3 linked regions of the Caenorhabditis elegans genome follow. The protein of the gene in region 3 purifies or fractionates together with the protein of the main gene of each other region. This does not show direct contact. Each region holds a gene or a part of one and is shown on either strand. Other genes may lie near its edges.

Evidence for each region.
Region 1: the proteins of cytb-5.2 (region 3) and Y50D7A.10 fractionate together in Caenorhabditis elegans (co-fractionation; one large-scale study listed by BioGRID). This does not show direct contact.
Region 2: the proteins of cytb-5.2 (region 3) and clp-1 fractionate together in Caenorhabditis elegans (co-fractionation; one large-scale study listed by BioGRID). This does not show direct contact.

Annotation. Positions count from the first base shown.
Region 1 is NC_003281.10:313,629-321,491, reverse strand, and holds the start of Y50D7A.10 (ADF-H domain-containing protein), read right to left. Parts: upstream 6,033-7,863; 5' UTR 6,031-6,032; coding exon 5,931-6,030; intron 4,557-5,930; coding exon 4,374-4,556; intron 62-4,373; coding exon 1-61. Other genes in the region: Y50D7A.1 (F-box domain-containing protein), read right to left, coding at 7,379-7,544, 7,699-7,837.
Region 2 is NC_003281.10:7,979,368-7,986,860, reverse strand, and holds clp-1 (Calpain clp-1), read right to left. Parts: upstream 5,788-7,493; 5' UTR 5,693-5,787; coding exon 5,591-5,692; intron 5,497-5,590; coding exon 5,373-5,496; coding exon of another isoform or gene 5,257-5,372; exon of another isoform or gene 5,189-5,256; coding exon 5,051-5,188; intron 4,398-5,050; coding exon of another isoform or gene 4,323-4,397; intron 4,131-4,322; coding exon 4,002-4,130; intron 3,955-4,001; coding exon 3,512-3,954; intron 3,470-3,511; coding exon 3,311-3,469; intron 3,241-3,310; coding exon 2,978-3,240; intron 2,918-2,977; coding exon 2,786-2,917; intron 2,412-2,785; coding exon 1,942-2,411; intron 1,898-1,941; coding exon 1,792-1,897; intron 1,744-1,791; coding exon 1,686-1,743; intron 1,519-1,685; coding exon of another isoform or gene 1,510-1,518; intron 1,197-1,509; coding exon 1,107-1,196; intron 1,061-1,106; coding exon 942-1,060; intron 839-941; coding exon 829-838; 3' UTR 533-828; downstream 1-532. UniProt on the Caenorhabditis elegans protein: Calcium-regulated non-lysosomal thiol-protease which catalyzes limited proteolysis of substrates. Required for assembly and maintenance of integrin attachment complexes which are essential for maintenance of adult muscle.
Region 3 is NC_003279.8:6,739,315-6,742,414, reverse strand, and holds cytb-5.2 (Cytochrome b5 heme-binding domain-containing protein), read right to left. Parts: upstream 1,140-3,100; 5' UTR 1,128-1,139; coding exon 1,035-1,127; intron 984-1,034; coding exon 651-983; 3' UTR 539-650; downstream 1-538. Other genes in the region: W02D3.12 (Succinate dehydrogenase assembly factor 4, mitochondrial), read right to left, coding at 109-347, 396-426; dhod-1 (Dihydroorotate dehydrogenase (quinone), mitochondrial), read right to left, coding at 1,404-1,563, 2,027-2,101.

The DNA.
Region 1 (7,863 bases), on a different chromosome or scaffold from region 3:
CATTCGTTGACGATGAAATTACGGCTCCCAGCGTACAGCATTTGGAGTTCCGGGCTGCTTCCTGTGAAAAAATCCTTTTTTTTTTGTTTTCCATTAGGTGGGTGGAGCCTAAACTGAGCAAGGAGAAAGGGGCGGAGCTAAGCAAACATTCTAAATTTTTGTTGAAACCCGTGAATTTTTTTTCACAAATGCACTGCAACTTTTTCCTCACGAGGGACGAGAAGTGGTTTCTAGGCCATGGCCGAGGGGCCGACAAGTTTCAGCGGCCATTTATCTTGCTTTGTTTTCCGCCTGTTTTCTTTCGTTTTTCATCGATTTTTTTCGTTTTTTCTTATTAAAACTGATAAATAAATATTTTTTGCAGATGCTAAAACAATTTCCAAGTGAAAAAATTATGTATTCAGTGGGCAAGCAGCGGTGAAAGTGGTCAATGTAAAATGATGGATTACGGGAATACAAAACCTAAACTTTTTCTGAAACATAATACATATGAAATTACCTGATTTTCATAACGAGACCGCTGAAAAAGTTTTGAGTTTTTCAAAATTCGACATTTTGTGCAAAAATCTCGACTTTTTCACTAAAAAATTTGAATTTTGAAAATCTCAAAACTTTTTCAGCGGTCTCGTTATGAAAATCAGGTACTTTTAGCATCCAAACAGCATATGTATCATGTTTGGGAAAAAGTTTGGATTTTGTATTCCCGTAATCCATCATATTGCATTGACCACTTTCACCGCTGCTTGCCCACTGAATACATAATTTTTTCACTTGGAAATTGTTTTAGCATCTGCAAAAAATATTTATTTATCAGTTTTATTAAGAAAAAACGAAAAAAATCAGTGAAAAACGAAAGAAAACAGGCGGAAAACAAAGCAAGATAAATGGCCGCTGAAACTTGTCGGCCCCTCGGCCATGGCCTAGAAACCACTTTTCCTCGTCCCTCGTGAGGAGAAAGTTGCAGTGAAATGTAAACTTTCAAGCAGAAAAGTGGGGATTTCTAAGATTTCCGGCAAAATCATCCCAGAAAAAATTGCATTCTCAAAGAAATTAGTCAAGAAAGAGGGGGCGGGGCCAAGTCCAGCAAGCCACGCCTTTTTTTCAATTTCAAAAAAATCGAAAATTCATCACGAAATTCTAAAATTTTGACAAAATTTTACATTTCCGTGAAATTTTTTTTGGATAAAATTGGCGAAACCCCGCCCCTTTCTTGGAAAATTCGATAAACATGTGCCTTCAATTAAGTGGACGGAGCCTAACATCACATTTCCTTTAAAAGTTCAAAAATTTAAGCTTCGAATCGTAAAATGCTGACATTTTCGACCACACAAAGTTTTAGAAAATGGGCAAAATCGGCATTTTTGAAAATTTGGCCAAGAAAGGGGCGGGGCTAAAAACAACAATTCGAATTTTTCATTAAAATCTGCAAAGTTTTTCAAAAATATAAAGTTCCAAAAGTAGAAAACTGTAGAATTTTGAGTTCTCCGGCAACAAAAACTCACGAAAAATAGGCGGAGTCTGTAAATTTGCCAAGAAAGGGGGGCGGGGCTAGGCAAAAATTTGAACTTCTAGTGAAAATGCGCAAAATTACTTCAAAAATGTACAGATCCAAGCAGAAAACTGTGGAATATTAAGTTTTCCGGCAGAAAATTCACCAAAAAGTAGGCAGAGGGCGCACATTCGAAAAATTTGCCCCCAAGAAAGGGGCGGGGTCTTACTCACATTCTGAATTTGTTCTGTCAGAAAATTCAAAATTCGCGCCAAACATTTTTTGGATTTTTTCAAAAGTGTTAAAATTCAAGGATTAATTTTTCCAAAACTACAGTACCCCTACAGTACCCCGACCATATCCCCCCACTAATCCCAAACCAATATCCCTTCAAAAGACGAAAAGACAATTTTTCCAAAACTACAGTAATCCTACCGTACCCCTACAGTACCCCGACCATATCCCTCCACTAACCCTAAACCAATATCCCTTCAAAAGACGAAAAGACAATTTTTCCAAAACTACAGTAATCCTTCCGTACCCCTACAGTACCCCGACCATATCCCTTCACTAACCCTAAACCAATATCCCTTCAAAAGACGAAAAGACAATTTTTCCAAAACTACAGTAATCTTACCGTACCCCTACAGTACCCCGACCATATCCCTCCACTAACCCCAAACCAATATCCCTTCAAAAGACGAAAAGACAATTTTTCCAAAACTACAGTACCCCTACAGTACCCCAACAGTACCCCGACCATATCCCACCACTAATCCCAAACCAATATCCCTTCAAAAGACGAAAAGACAATTTTTCCAAAACTACAGTAATCCTACCGTACCCCTACAGTACCCCGACCATATCCCTCCACTAACCCTAAACCAATATCCCTTCAAAAGACGAAAAGACAATTTTTCCAAAACTACAGTAATCCTTCCGTACCCCTACAGTACCCCGACCATATCCCTCCACTAACCCTAAACCAATATCCCTTCAAAAGACGAAAAGACAATTTTTCCAAAACTACAGTAATCCTACCGTACCCCTACAGTACCCCGACCATATCCCTCCACTAACCCTAAACCAATATCCCTTCAAAAGACGAAAAGACAATTTTTCCAAAACTACAGTAATCCTACCGTACCCCTACAGTACCCCGACCATATCCCTCCACTAACCCTAAACCAATATCCCTTCAAAAGACGAAAAGACAATTTTTCCAAAACTACAGTACCCCTACCGTACCCCTACAGTACCCCGACCATATCCCTCCACTAACCCCAAACCAATATCCCTTCAAAAGACGAAAAGACAATTTTTCCAAAACTACAGTAATCCTACCGTACCCCTACAGTACCCCGACCATATCCCTCCACTAACCCCAAACCAATATCCCTTCAAAAGACGAAAAGACAATTTTTCCAAAACTACAGTAATCCTACCGTACCCCTACAGTACCCCGACCATATCCCTTCACTAACCCCAAACCAATATCCCTTCAAAAGACGAAAAGACAATTTTTCCAAAACTACAGTACCCCTACAGTACCCCAACAGTACCCCGACCATATCCCACCACTAATCCCAAACCAATATCCCTTCAAAAGACGAAAAGACAATTTTTCCAAAACTACAGTAATCCTACCGTACCCCTACAGTACCCCGACCATATCCCTCCACTAACCCTAAACCAATATCCCTTCAAAAGACGAAAAGACAATTTTTCCAAAACTACAGTAATCCTTCCGTACCCCTACAGTACCCCGACCATATCCCTCCACTAACCCTAAACCAATATCCCTTCAAAAGACGAAAAGACAATTTTTCCAAAACTACAGTAATCCTACCGTACCCCTACAGTACCCCGACCATATCCCTCCACTAACCCTAAACCAATATCCCTTCAAAAGACGAAAAGACAATTTTTCCAAAACTACAGTAATCCTACCGTACCCCTACAGTACCCCGACCATATCCCTCCACTAACCCTAAACCAATATCCCTTCAAAAGACGAAAAGACAATTTTTCCAAAACTACAGTACCCCTACCGTACCCCTACAGTACCCCGACCATATCCCTCCACTAACCCCAAACCAATATCCCTTCAAAAGACGAAAAGACAATTTTTCCAAAACTACAGTAATCCTACCGTACCCCTACAGTACCCCGACCATATCCCTCCACTAACCCCAAACCAATATCCCTTCAAAAGACGAAAAGACAATTTTTCCAAAACTACAGTAATCCTACCGTACCCCTACAGTACCCCGACCATATCCCTTCACTAACCCCAAACCAATATCAGTTCAAAAGACGAAAAGACAATTCTTCTTCTGAGTCTCTCGGCGGAAAATTCATCTAAAACGTAGGCGGAGTTTGGATATTGTGGAAATATTTACCAAGAAAGGGGGCGGAGCTTACGCAAACTTTTAGTTTCTTGTGAAAGTACGCAAAATTGCTTGAAAACTGTGGAATTTTGAGTTTTCCGGCAAAAAATTCACCGAAAAAGCGGAATATGTAACACATTTTTAAATATTGGCCAAGAAATGGGCGGAGCTTACACAAATTTTGAATTCCTAGTGAAAATGCGCAAATTTTCTTCAAAAATGTAAAGTTTCAAGTAGAAAACTGTAGAATTTTGAGTTTTCCGGCATAAAAATCACCGAATGAGTACGAGGAGTCCGCACATTTGAAATATTTGCCAAGAAAGGGGCGGGGCTAGGCGATATTTGGTTTTTTTTCTAAAATGAGCAGATTTTGACCATTTTTCGTTTAAGTTTAGCTCTACAACTTCAGAATTTACCCGATTTTTCCGGCAAAACATAACATTTTTAGCGTTTTTCTCGAGATTTTTCGACAAATTTCGACAAAAAAATTTTACCATTTGGGCAATAATAAATCAGAAGCATTGGATATGAAATTCGTTCGTCCGAATGTTTTTTGCACCAACTGAGTAGAATAAACCGTGGTTGTTGACTTGGAAGCTCTTCTTTAAACTCTTCAATTGAGCAATCATTGAGCAGTTGCTCCGATTGAAGCTCATGCGATTCCCGGTCGATTTTCACTGAAAAATGGCAATTTTTTGGATTTTTACAACTGAAAAATTGGGAAAAACCGAAAATTTCAGCCCAGAAACTAATTTTCTCACTGCAACTTTTTCCTCACGAGGGACGAGGAAAAGTGGTTTCTAGGCCATGGCCGAGGGGCCGACAAGTTTCAGCGGCCATTTATTTTGCCTTGTTTTCCGCCTGTTTTCTTTCGTTTTTCACAGCTTTTTCCCGTTTTTTCTTATTAAAACTGATAAATAAATACTTTTTGCAGATGCTAAAACAATTTCCAAATAAAAAAAATTATGTATTCAGTGGGCAAGCAGCGGTGAAAGTGGTCAATGTAAAATGATGGATTACGGGAATACAAAACCTAAACTTTTTCTGAAACATAATACATATGCTGCTTAAATGCTGAAACTACCTGATTTTCATAACGAGACCGCTGAAAAAGTTTTGAAGGTTCCAAAATTCAACTTTTTTGGTGAAAAAGCCGAGATTTTCGCAAAAAAAGTTGAATTTCGGAAACCTCAAAACTTTTTCAGCGGTCTCGTTATGAAAATCAGGTAGTTTCAGCATCTAAGCAGCATATGTATCATGTTTCAGAAAAAGTTTAGGTTTTGTATTCCCGTAATCCATCATATTGCATTGACCACTTTCACCGCTGCTTGCCCACTGAATACATAAGTTTTTTACTTGGAAATTGTTTTAGCATCTGCAAAAAATATTTATTTATCAGTTTTATTAAGAAAAAACGAAAAAATCGATGAAAAACGAAAGAAAACAGGCGGAAAACAAAGCAAGATAAATGGCCGCTGAAACTTGTCGGCCCCTCGGCCATGGCCTAGAAACCACTTTTCCTCGTCCCTCGTGAGGAAAAAGTTGCAGTGTTTTTTTCGCAAAAATTTGCATTTTCAATGACTTATGCCAAGAAGTGGGTGGAGCCTCCGCAAGTGGGCGTGACCAAATTTTTTTGGAATTTTTTTTTTGGAATCTATATAAACCTGCATTTTTTCGGCAAGTTTTGAGAAAATTTTTGGTTTCTATTAAAGGGGCGGAGCCTGGGATAAAATGTGGGCGGAGCCTCCAAAAGTAGGCGGGGCTATGGTACTTTCCGATAAGTCTACCAGAATTTATTTTCTAAAACTCATAAAATTTGGCAGATTTCCATTAACGATGCGGAGTCTAGAGAAATGGGCGGTGCCTAGAAAAATAGGCGTGGCCTATTTTTAGAATTGCATTTGTCGCCATTAACTAGGCGTGGCCTTTTTAATCTTATTCTATATTCACGATTTTTAGCAAAAATTGACCCAGAAATAGGCGGCGCCTAGAGAAGTGGGCGTGGCTTAGTTTTCGAAAAATCTGCCATGAAATGGGCGTGGTGGACTTACAAATCAAAGCGTTCATCGTTGTACTCTTCGAGAATCGAAACTTCTTCAAATCCTCCTTCACTCCGTCTGGAATTGAGCATATTGTGAGCGATGACGTCATCTCTGCAAAGTGGGGGCGTGGTTAGGGAGGAAAGGGGCGGGGCTTATGATGAAAAATATTCAAATCGTTTTTGAAAAACGATTCTGGACGACATTAAGAAATTAAGAAAAATAGAGAGAGAGTAAATTTTTTTGAAAAAAAATCCAATAAAGGGGCGGAGCCACACCCAAGAAAGGGGCGTGGCTAGCTTATTATAAAATATCAAAAAATTTCAAAAAAGACAATGAGCAAAGGAATGTCAGAGAAATAAAATACAAAAAAGAAATTGTTGGTATAGAAAAAGAGGCGGAGCCTCATAGGATGGGGGCGGGGCCAAGAAATGGCGGCGGAGCTTATGCAATAAATATACATTACGAACAAAAATGTACAACAAGAAATATTAAAAAAGTTACCAAGCAAGGGTCGGAATCTGAACAATTGTCAAAAACAAAAAGGGGCGGAGTCTTACAAATTGCCACGAAAGGGGCGGAGCCTCGAAAAAGAAGGCGGGGCTTGACAAGTTATCGATTTTCTCGGGAAATTGAGCTAAAATTCCTTGGGAAATACGAATTTTAGGTGAAAATTGAAAAAAAAAAGCATTTTCCGACTAAAACTGCCAAGAATGGGGCGGAGTCAGACAAGTTGCCTCGAAAGGGGCGGAGTCTCGAAAAAAGAGAGCGGGGCTTAGGAAGTTATCGATTTTCTCGGGAAATTGAGCTAAAATTCCTTGGGAAATACGAATTTTAGGTGAAAATCAAATAATTATTCAGTTATCCGACTAAAAGTGCCAATAAAGGGGCGGGGTCTGGAAAATTGTCAAGAAAGGGGCGGGGCTTGGAAATTATTTTGTTTTTTTCGTAAAAATAAGCAAAAGTTGAAGTATTTTGAAAGTTCCCACAAAAAATGAGTGATCTACCCATTTCTGAAAAAAAATTGCCAAGAAAGGGGCGGAGCCTCGAAAAAGAAGGCGGGGCTTAACAATTTATCGATTTTATCGAGAAATTGAGCAAAAGTTTTTGGGAAATACGAATTTTAGGTGAAAATTGAAAAAAAAAAATGCATTTTCCGACTAAAACTGCCAAGAATGGGGCGGAGTCTGGAAAATTGCCAAAAAAGGGGAGGGGCTTAGAAAAAGAAGGCGGGGCTTAACAATTTATCGATTTTATCGGGAAATTGAGCAAAAGTTTTTGGGAAATACGAATTTTAGGTGAAAATTGAAAAAAAAAATGCATTTTCCGAATAAAACTGCCAAGAATAGGGCGGAGTCTGGAAATTTGCCAAGAAAGGGGCGGAGCCTAGAAAAAAAAGAGGCGGGGCTATAAAAGTGATTTTTCCGGAAAAATCGGTCAAATTAGTGGGCGGAGCGTCGTTATTTCTCGGCGATTGGCGTCAACAGAATAGTTTGTCCCATTTTTTCGAGTGTTCCTGGGTAGCGGACACGTCCCGAGTGCATGATGACGTCATGATGGGATCCGACGAGGAAATAACCGTCAGTATCTACAGGAGATGGGTACTGCTCAGCTTGTGGTGTCCAGCTGAAACAAAATTTCGGGTCAGAAAGGGGCGGAGCTTAAGGTGGGTTTTGAAAATTATTGAATTTTGAAGCTCAAAAAACTCGAAATTTTATAAAAAATTTAGCTAAAAATTTTTTTTTTTTTTCAAAAATAAATTTTCAAATTCCCGCCATACCGTAACTCGTCAAACTCTTCAAATTCCACGTGGCACGGTACTTCTGCCACGTAGACGGATAGACGTTTCAGTGCACTATTACGCATCGGAACTCGCGGAGCCAAATAGTCCATACGGCTTGTGTTGTAGTATTTTGAGTCTGAAATTTGCGGAGAAAAATTGGAG
Region 2 (7,493 bases), on a different chromosome or scaffold from region 3:
AAATTGAACCCAAAAATTAAAAAAAGTTAGTGAGTCCAAAGTATACGGTACCGACCGGTCTCGACACGAAGGATACGATTACTGCAGAATAGAATGTGCGCCTTTAAAGATTACGGTAATGTCGAAGCTTTGGAAATCGATTAAAGAAATGAATTTTTTCTCATTTTAATAAAAACAAATTTTATGCAAAATTGGGCTGGAAAAAAGACTTTTGTTCGAAGCTGCTAAAAAAAAGTATTATTACTTCACCGTAAAACGTGATTTTTTACAGTTTCTCCCACTACTCGAGGTAAATATATTTTTATCTTTCCTAATTGATTTTTAAAAAAAGAGAAATTTTTAAAGCTAGATCAGAAATGGTTTAGTGTATGTGGTATTATTCGTAGCGACAGAGTCAATACTAATGAAATCTGTGAATATTTTTTAAGTGTTGAAGAATATAAGATAATTTTGTTCATTTAAAAATACTTCGTATGCTTAATCTTTTGACAGGCTTGATTTTTGAAAAGACGGAAATTTTGGATATCTTTCATCAGAACTAGAAAATTTATTTACTCTGGAAAAGGCAAAAAAAAAGAATACAGTGAAACAACAAGCATATCAAAATATTACAATTCTACAGAGCAGATCCGGCAAACATCGACGGGAAATTAGGCAGAAAGAGTGGAGAAAAGAGGGACGATTGAGGAAAGAGAGAGAGGGTAGGGGGGTTAATGATGAAAATAGAACGAGTGACAGAGAGATTTATACATAACGAAGTGGATCAAAACAATAGGTATAGGAAGATCCAATCTTGCTATTTGTTGTTGTAGTTGTGAGTAGAATGGCTTACAGTTCCCTGGAAAATATTGAATCAATGAATTATTAGTACCTGCAGAAGCTCAGCTTATATATTCTGTTAAATCAAAACAAAGTACAAAATCTTGATATTCACTACTCACTCCGACTCGATAAATCCATTCGTGTAGACACGGAGCATGAACTCGGCTTCCTCGTTTGGTTCAAATGTTGATGGAACGACAACATAGTTGCCCGGGGGTACACGGAAGCGGCCAGTCATCTGAAAATTTGGTTTTTAAAATTTAATTTTGAAGATAGAAAATTACCTCTCTTAAATTGATGAAAGCGGCCGATCTCATCGCGGATTTGTTGGCAGCGAAGAACTGTTTACTCAGTCGACCACGGTTATTTCCGGCCTGAATAGTATGTAATTTTATAAAGCTTGAAAAAATCTTTGGTTCGGACGAACACAGAGACAGAAAATACAATTTTCTTTCAAATGACTGCATTTTTCTGTTATTTGATACGTTTCACACATCCAATAGTAAACAACAAAACATAAATATTGGTTAGATAATGTCAAAAAATCAGCACGTGTACTTCAACAATAAAACAATACACACTAAACAAAGTGGGTGAGGTTCACTGAATGTGGGTTATTTTGAACTAGAAACGACGTGATTTGGACAATTTTACCGGTTTCACAAGATTTTCAATTAGCCAACTTACATTGTTCATCTGTAAATTTTTAGCGTATTTAAAAGGTTTAAAAATTTTTTAGTAGTTTTAGGGGAAAGTTAAGTTTTCAAATGTTCCAACTATTCTATTTAAAGTTGAGGTTTTCTAGAATTGTCGTAAATTTCAGGCCAAATCCTGTTTTTTCTTCAAAATAACAATAGTCTCACGTCATAGACAGCAAATCCAATTGGCACGTTGTCAAGTCCATCTTGTTTCAGATTACGTCTTAAAAATTGGAAAAATAAAAATGATTTCCCTATCTGGTGGCGCTACCTGTATTTTTGCAAAACGGCGAATATTACAGTGCAGAGTTCATCATCATCATCAGGATCCGAATCGGTAAGTTGAACTCGGAATTGTGGATTGTTGGCGAAAGTGTCTGAATTGAAAATTGAAAATATTTGTAGATGAATATTTACTTACTGATGTAATTCCTGCATCCTCCAGCTGTTTGATTTCTAACCCATGCACCATCATGAGTATTTGCAGCCCAAACCATTCCAGCGGCCTTGACACCAGTCATTTGATAGACTTCATCCATAACATCTGGTCCAAGATTGCAAATTTCCATTTTCTCGAAATTCCTCATAAAATCATCAAATGACATCCAAAACTCTCCATCATGATCGAATTTCAGTCCCATATCTTGTTTTACAGAATCTGGAACACTTCGCCATTCGCGTGAATTGTCTGACCATGGTCCATTCCATTCCTGTTCATTTCCCCATGGATTACGGATTCGAAGAATGCAAGTTTGTCCATTTGGTCCGTCAACAATTCGGCATCCGGTAATTGAATAGGCGTGTCCTTTCACTAAACCATTCGACATTTTTGCTTCCCAAACATTTGGATCGGCTTCGATGGAGCAACCGAATAGGGATCCCATCTCGAATCTGAAATTTTGTTAATACATGGACGCTAAAATTTGCGCAAAAAATACGGTAATCGGTCTCGACACGACAACTTTTTGTCGAATATAAATAGGGGATCACTTTTAAAGAGTACTTTACTTTCAAGATTTTATTTTTGTGGAATTTTTTATCGATTTTTCATAGTTTGTGTGTTCTTAATTGTTTTATTTCTGTTTCTAACAAAAAACTATGCAAAATCAATGAAAATTCGGCATCAACGAAAGTTTGAAACTACAGTACTCATTAAAGGCGCACAGACATTCATAATTAACAAAAATTGTCGCGTCGAGACCGGGTACTGTAGTTTGGCACAACTCGTTTTTGGATAATAATGTAAATTAGACTTTAATCCCTACCCTCTCATCATCATTTGCATCAAGTTTCTTGGTGGGTTTTTGAGGTCGATAAACTCGGTGAGTCCTCCAGTCATGTCCTCAAGTGCTTCAGATGTGGTACCTCCCTTGAGAGCCTCGTATGATCCGAACAATCTTGAAAATTAATTAACTAGTTTATTCCTTCATAAATGTCGGTCAAAAGTCCGAACTTACTTTGCATATGCCTTCTCTAAAAGTGCACTCCAGAACTCATTATTACTAGCAGAATGCATATAGAGAAGCTCGCCGTTACTCGTTGGTAATCTGTCGTCAATAACAACATCCACCCATTTTCCGTACTGCCAGAATTGGAAATGGAAGATTCCAGCGTAGTTTTCAGTGAAAGATTGATCTGGTGGAACCACACGATAGAAGAGCTCATCCTTGAGAGTTAAATTGGCTGCAGCAGCCAAGAGCCAACAATCTCCGAGTTCTCCCTGAAAGAATATATAATTTTAATAGTACATTTCAAATATTAAAAATTCTGAAAATAATCCAAGAGCTAACCTGAATAACATCAAATCTCGAGTGACCCTCTGTAATCAGTTGTGGCTCTCTTGTGATTTCTCCAGGACGAAGCCATTCTACACGTTTTGGTGGACGTTTCGAGAAGAATAACGAACTATCATTGGCCAAGAATTGTGGATCCTCGAATAGTCGTTTGCTCTGAATTTATTATTTTAAAAATGATATGTTTTGAACACTCACCTCAAGACATTGATCTCTGAGCTCATAGAAGTCTTGTGGTTCGGTAGTTGGTCTTGGTGAAATAGGGCTTGGACCACTTCCACCACCTCCTCTATCTGGATCTGGTCCTGGACGAACGAATGGATCAACATCCCTACGGAACTTTCCAGAAATAATATTGTCCAGAATAACTTTTCCGATATTTCCAAGAGAATTATCTTTTCCACCAAGTCCCATAATCACATTTCCAGCGACAGCTCCAATGATTCTGCCTGTACCCGGATCAACGCCGAGGAATCTGTGAGCAGCTTCTCCAATGAGATTTCCGATAACATTCACCATTCCACCGTTGAGATTATTCGGGTTCACATTTCCACCTCCACCATTGTACTGGCCACCGCCTCCTCCGCCAATGAGAGATCCGATTCCTCCGAGGATATCTCCGAAGCCTCCTCCACCACCGCCTAAAATTTTTCAAATTATTCAAAGTATATTAATAAATGTTCTATACCTTGTCTCTGGCCACCACCACCACCACCTCCCATACTGTTGATGAGTCCACCGATATCATTGAAGTTAAAGCCACCGCCTCCGCCGCCTCCTTGATTTCCACCACCACCGCCGTAGTTACCACCTCCGCCTAAAATATTACTCTAGCTTGAATTTCATGGGTGCCACATTTGTGTAGATAGTTCAGAAATGAAATACAATTAGATGTGATAAATAAGTGTCAATAAGATCTATAAATGTTCTGATCATCAGCTCTATTAACTATTAAAATATTAACACAACATTTATGATACTACATGCACACTACAATCCTAATGCATACCACCACCACCAATAAGTGATCCGACCAAGCTTCCGATGTTGTTTCCACCACCGCCACCGCCACTGCCGCCTCCGCCTAAATTTCACACGAAATATCACAGCAAACATGCAAAATATTGCATTTTTAAAGGAAAATCACGAATCATCAGTCAAAAGCGAATTAACAGGAGAATTTAAAAGTCTAAAGCTTCTTTCAAAATAGCCATATTTTTCAAATCAAATTTTGGAAATGAGTGGTGTTGTTAGTATTTAAGTGAGTGTTGGTGAGTGCGTAGAAGCTTAACTTATTGTATTTTCAAACTCTCAGACCGTAATTTTGCCCTCCGCCGCCTCTTTGTCCACCGCCGCCACCTCCGCCGCTCAAAAGTCCCCCAAGAATGTCTCCGAACCCTCCGCCACCGCCAGATCCACCTCCACCACCAAAATTGTTATTTGGTGGCGGCTGTTGTCGACCTCCACCTGATTTTTAACATAAGTTGATGAATTTGTGCTATGAGCGTGGAATTGCGCTATTTTCAAGAAAAAAGCTTGAAGATTGGTGAACAATTACGGAACAAAAGACAAAGAAGCTTCACATTCCCAGACGTCCAAGAATGAAAAACTAGAAAAAAAACCGAGGATAATAAATTACAGACCATGTTCAGAAAATTTGAGAAAATGATTAAGCTAATTATATAATCAAATCTATAGAAAGCACAAAACAGCAAATAAAAAAAACACAAACGCTACCATAGTTATCCTGCTCCTTCTTTCCTTTCCTATTCACCACATTATCGAATATTCCTCCAATCAAGTCTTTCGCCATGTCTCGTTTCCTTTTTTGTTGATCTCCGCTGTTCCCATTCCCGCCTTGATCGTAGTTCGAACCTATGGATTACTGTAGCAGCAAATGGGATTACGATAACATGGACAACATATAAGGTGTGAGAAAAAATTCACTGATCTAAGCCACACGGTGATGTTTTGAGTGAATCTAAATGTTTTCTAACACAAAAAAAGGAACTTGAATTTTTAGGGAATTTTTGTCTGACAATTTTGAAAATAAAAATACCTCCACCGAATCCTCCATTTCCACCACCGAAACCTCCGCCTCCGCCGCCGCCTCCTCCGCCGCCTCCACCTCCGAAGAAGTTACTGGCAAGGCCTCCAAGGATATCACCACCGGCGCCACCGACCTGTGAGATAATTAGTTTTAGGTTGCAATTAAATTTCAACATGTCTATGTAGCAAATTTAAAAAAAAAATATTCTAACCAAAAATTAAACTAACCTTATCTCTAATCAGGTTACCAGCAATTGATCCAATTAATCCATTGAATTCATCCGGCTTCACTTCGACTTTTTGAATAATTTCTTCCTCATCGTCAGCCATTTTGATTCCGTCGGCTTTTGCTGTGAAACCGTCGGTTGTTGTCTTTTTTTGATAGTTTTCCTCCTCGTTTGAGCCTGCCGCACGATTTTCGGGGTCTGCAAAACAGAATATCTATGAATTTGAAATAAAATTTGATTTTTGTTCAACGAAAAAGTCAGAAGAAGCAGAGCAATCAGGCTCACAACATAGAGAAAAAAAAAACAAATTTTTACCTCTTCTTGGGGATACAGCAATTGAGAATGGAAACATAAAATAATTTTTAGAGTTAGAGCTTTTTTTAAGGAATGTGTAATTCTTAAAATCGATAAGCCCTTTGCGTGCTCTTTGAGCCTTCGGAGTTGGGGAGACAAAGATTAGCGTCAACTTTTTTGTGCATGCATTTTTCTGTTTTTTTTCTCATATTTTCTGAGCACGAAACAACATAAATTTAGTTGACAGAATAAAGGAAATTTGAGTTAATGGAAATAGAAACTTTATCTATTAATTTATTTGATTGTCATCAATTAGCTATCGATGGCAAACAAAACGGATGAACCTAATTGGAAACGGATAAAAATATAAATTCAATGTGACAGGGGGAGAAAAAAAAACTAGATTTTATTTTTTTGTTTCTCTTTTGGTTTTTCGGTCTTGTTTTCAATTTAATCGTCACGGAAATTGGTATTGGAGTGAGGCACAACACACCAAAAAAACAATTGCCACATTCAATGGGTTTCGAAATATAGAATATGCTCAGAAAATCAGATAAAACTAAGCAAATCGTAATTTTTGAACATGATTTTCAATTATTCAAGGATTTTTCTTTCAATTTTGTTCCGAAATTTCCCTGTATGACCTTTTGATACGGATAAAATTGTCTTTTGAAACCGAGAAAACGAACAAAAAACATTTGGAAATCGATGTAAAAGCTGCGGGGGACCAGAGTTTGCGTGTTTTGCTTTTGAAACCAATTCTACATTCCCATGAGTCTAAGCGAAGGACATGTCAACTCAGTGTCAGGAGCAGGCCGAAAATGTGTTTTTTTTTTAATTTAGAGTTCAGAAAAAAAACCACACCTTCTGAAGATACTCTGGATCACACGTAGACAACAATACAATACATTTCTTGAATTTTTTTTCATACAAATTTGACTCACCAACAAGACAACAATTGAATACATTCATTGCACCGGGCAATTCTCCTCGAGAAACGAGCACAGAATGAGCTCAAAAAGGGAGCAACAAGCAGCTCGTTTTGAGAAATGGAGAGCTAGAGGGACCAACCGGAAATAAAGGAGCACCCTATGGCTCAGAGCAGGAAAAAGTTGCTCTTTTTTTTCTCGAAACGGAATGTGATGGCAGAAATAGAGGGGAAAAGATGTTCCGCGCCGTTGATAATTGGTTTTGGTGAGGCTCCGGGGCTCAGTTGCTCTTTTTGTTTTTGTTTTCCGTTAGGTTCTATTCGCAGGTGATCGATAGCATAGAGGAAAAGGTCCCTTTTTCTTTGAAAAGAGAATAAAATTTTGTGTATCGAAGCACTTTTTTTTGGATTTATAGGTGAGTGACCAGAGAACTCTTTAGAATAAAGAAGTGGTGAGCGATTTAAAAATGAGAAAATTTCACCAACGTTGGTTGCCAATCATTCAAAAAGCCAGGGTTTGAGCTGTCTGAGCCCCATTTGACGATTATCTAGATGTTGCGGATTTACGACTTACAATTACAGAAATCTAAATCCAAATGAGGACTGTTCTTTTTTGTTTAATTTTTTTTATTTGGCTCCTAAAATATTCATTTTATTTGTTAATTTTTGTCAAAGGAGAAAA
Region 3 (3,100 bases):
TGTGTACCCTATTACGATTAATGTCACTCTATGTTTAAAACATTTATTTATTTGCACTACAAAACAATGATGATCTGACTTGACTTTAACAGCAATTAATAAAACATTTCAAAAATCTGAAACTCTTCCCTTCCTCTCCCAATCACCATATCGAGTTGGCTCTGGTCCAGCTGGTCCACCAACTTCTCCAGTTGACTTATTCACACCTCCCGGATGTTTCTTGAGGTGAGGATCTTCATATTGTTGTTCGTCTGCTTTATCAAGTGCTCCTTTCGGTGTCTTCTCAGCCATCACCTTCTCCTTCGCACTTTGTTTTGGTTTTATATCTGCGAATCGGCGGGAAGAATCTGAATCGTCAAGAAATTAGAAAATTGTTTTTTGTGTAAAATCCATACTCAAAATTGGACGAAGAATCTGACGAAGCATTTGATCTGAATATTTTTTTTAATTGTTTCAATAGGACTAATCTTGCGACTAAAGTTACATCGATATCTCCAAGGCTCCACCCATTTTTCCTTCAGTAACATATGAAAATATTGACAACAAATCTTTATCACATATATAAAAGTCCATAGAAACAAATGTTCTTTGATGCATTTCAAGAAAGTGGGCGCATAAGATCAAAAGAATAGGATAAGAGCTAAGGTAATTTAATTGAACATGCACTTGTACACGGCATAAATGACAAGTCCCATTGTAGTTGGAATCAGGAAGTTGGTCCATGTTGGTGAAGTCATAATTTCGGTGAAATCATTGAGGAGAGATGATGATTTTTCGTTTTTCGAAGGTTTCGCAGCCGCTGTCTCGACTTTTGGAACGTCTGATTCTGGCAATTGACCAATGAGATATTCATTGGCCATTTCAATAGCATCTTTTGAGTGCCCAACATCGAGGAATCCAACTGTAGCATCTTTACCGGCTAATTGAGTGATGACTTCTTCACCTCCTGGATGCTCATTCAAGAACTTTGTCACATCGTAGACCTGTAAGGAATGATTTCGATATTTAAATTTAAAAAATGAAAAAAAAATTACCTTTCCGGAGATGACAATCCAACACGATTGATCAGCATCTTCCCAGTTGTGCTTTGAGACCTCATCGAGAGAAATGACACGTAGCTCCGACATAATTGATGAACCCTGAAACAAAAAATGGTCTCTAAGTCGTTGAAAATTATTCAAAAGTGATATATTTCGGTTGAAAACCAGAAACTTTAGTATAAATTGAAAAAAAAAACATAAGGAAATCAAATAATTTATGCAGAAAATACTAAGAATTACCCTACAATCTCATGAAAAGGCACATTGAACATCGGAAGAAAATAATTCAATTATAAAACAATTTTGAAACACCCATGAAAATGAAGTCAACCTGAAAAAATAACAAAAATCTTGGGAATATAATTATTTCGTTTTTTCTCTGTGATCAGCTCCAATTGCTTCCGAAACATGCGAAAATCCATCTTTCCGTAAAAGTTCGACAAGTTCTCGTTTGATTTTTCCGATTACCGGAAATCCTTCATAGACGAACGCGGAATAGAGTTGGACCAGACTAGCACCGGCTCTGAAATTTTACATTTAGTTAAATAAATTGAAATTAATACTTTGATTGAATAACGGTGGACTATACGGCCTGTGGGAAAATCAATAAAACCATTCTTACCATATATTGTACTCAAATGGTCAAATATTATAATTCAATTTTTATTTTGAGTCAAAAGGCGTTGAAAACTGTGTTTTTACTTTTCGAAAAATCTATATCACTGTATCATGTTTAAACCTTTAAAATGTTGAAATATGCATATTTTACATAATTAGAACATAAAACTGGAGAATAACATTTTTTTGATCGTCGATTTCCAAAGAAAAATAGGGGAAAACCGATTTTTCACTGCTTTTTGAAACGAAACAAAAAATGTTTCAAATTTTTTTTGAAAAGTTTTATAATAATATTTGGTCATTTTAGCAAGATAGGAATGGTTTTTGATAATTTCCCCACTCGACCTCGAACTGGGAAGTTCACTTACCTAATCTTTTCATATGCATCTGCTCCACTGAACACTCCTCCACAGCCGATAATTGGAATTTGTCCGTTTGTGAGTCTGAAATTAAACTATCAATGCGAACAAAATTAAACCAATTTTTTTTGTTGAAAAATTATCGATTTGAAAAATGATGAAAACTTAACTTACCATATTTGCGCAGTAAAACGAATCAAACTAAATACGCCGCCTGGTTTTCCCAGTGTAACCGGGGTGACAAGTGGCCAAAGAAAACGAAATAACAAGGGGACATGCGGTAAAAATGATGACAATTGTCTATAGTCTAGCCAAGAAGGTTCAACGTTGTGATTTTTTGGTGTTTGGGTTCTTTGATTTATGTTAAAATTTCATAAAGGTTCTAGATTTTCGATTATACACACGCAAAATGGCCGAATTACATAAAGAGACTGCTCAAAAAACAAATTAAAAATTGAACAATTTAATTTTAGCTACAATCTCAAATTTGCTAACTTCACCAAGTCACAGCTTCGGGAGATTATTTGTTCTCAAATTACTAGCTGATTTTGCTCGTTCTAGCTAATTATTAAGTTGTTTTTTGTTGATTTAAATTACTTATACATTTTTTTTCAAACGGGAACCAAACTCGGTTAATTATGTACTGGAAATATAACTAAAGCCACACGGAAAAAATGGAAAATTATCTAATTTCAGTTTTCTCTTCGAAATTTTTGAACGAAACAATGTTCTGATATTTATATCGTATTTGAGTACACGGCGTGTAAATTGGTACCTCTGGCCTAGAAAAAAGCTTGAAAAACAAATGTACGCAATTATGAAAATGCGGTTGGTGTTTGCGGACTTGACTACCATAGTCCACATAAATTTTAGCAATTAATACTTCCCGGTTTCGTTTTATATGAAAATATCCTTGAACTCAAGCAAAAAATGCATTATCTTTTTGGAAAAGAATAAAAGAAACACTAAAATTACATTAAATTCAAATACAAAAAAATATGAACTACGCAGAAAACGAAACAAGGCAGTTTGAAGCTGCATTAAAGAACAGCGCTTTTCAGTGTAAACTTGTGACGGTGGGTA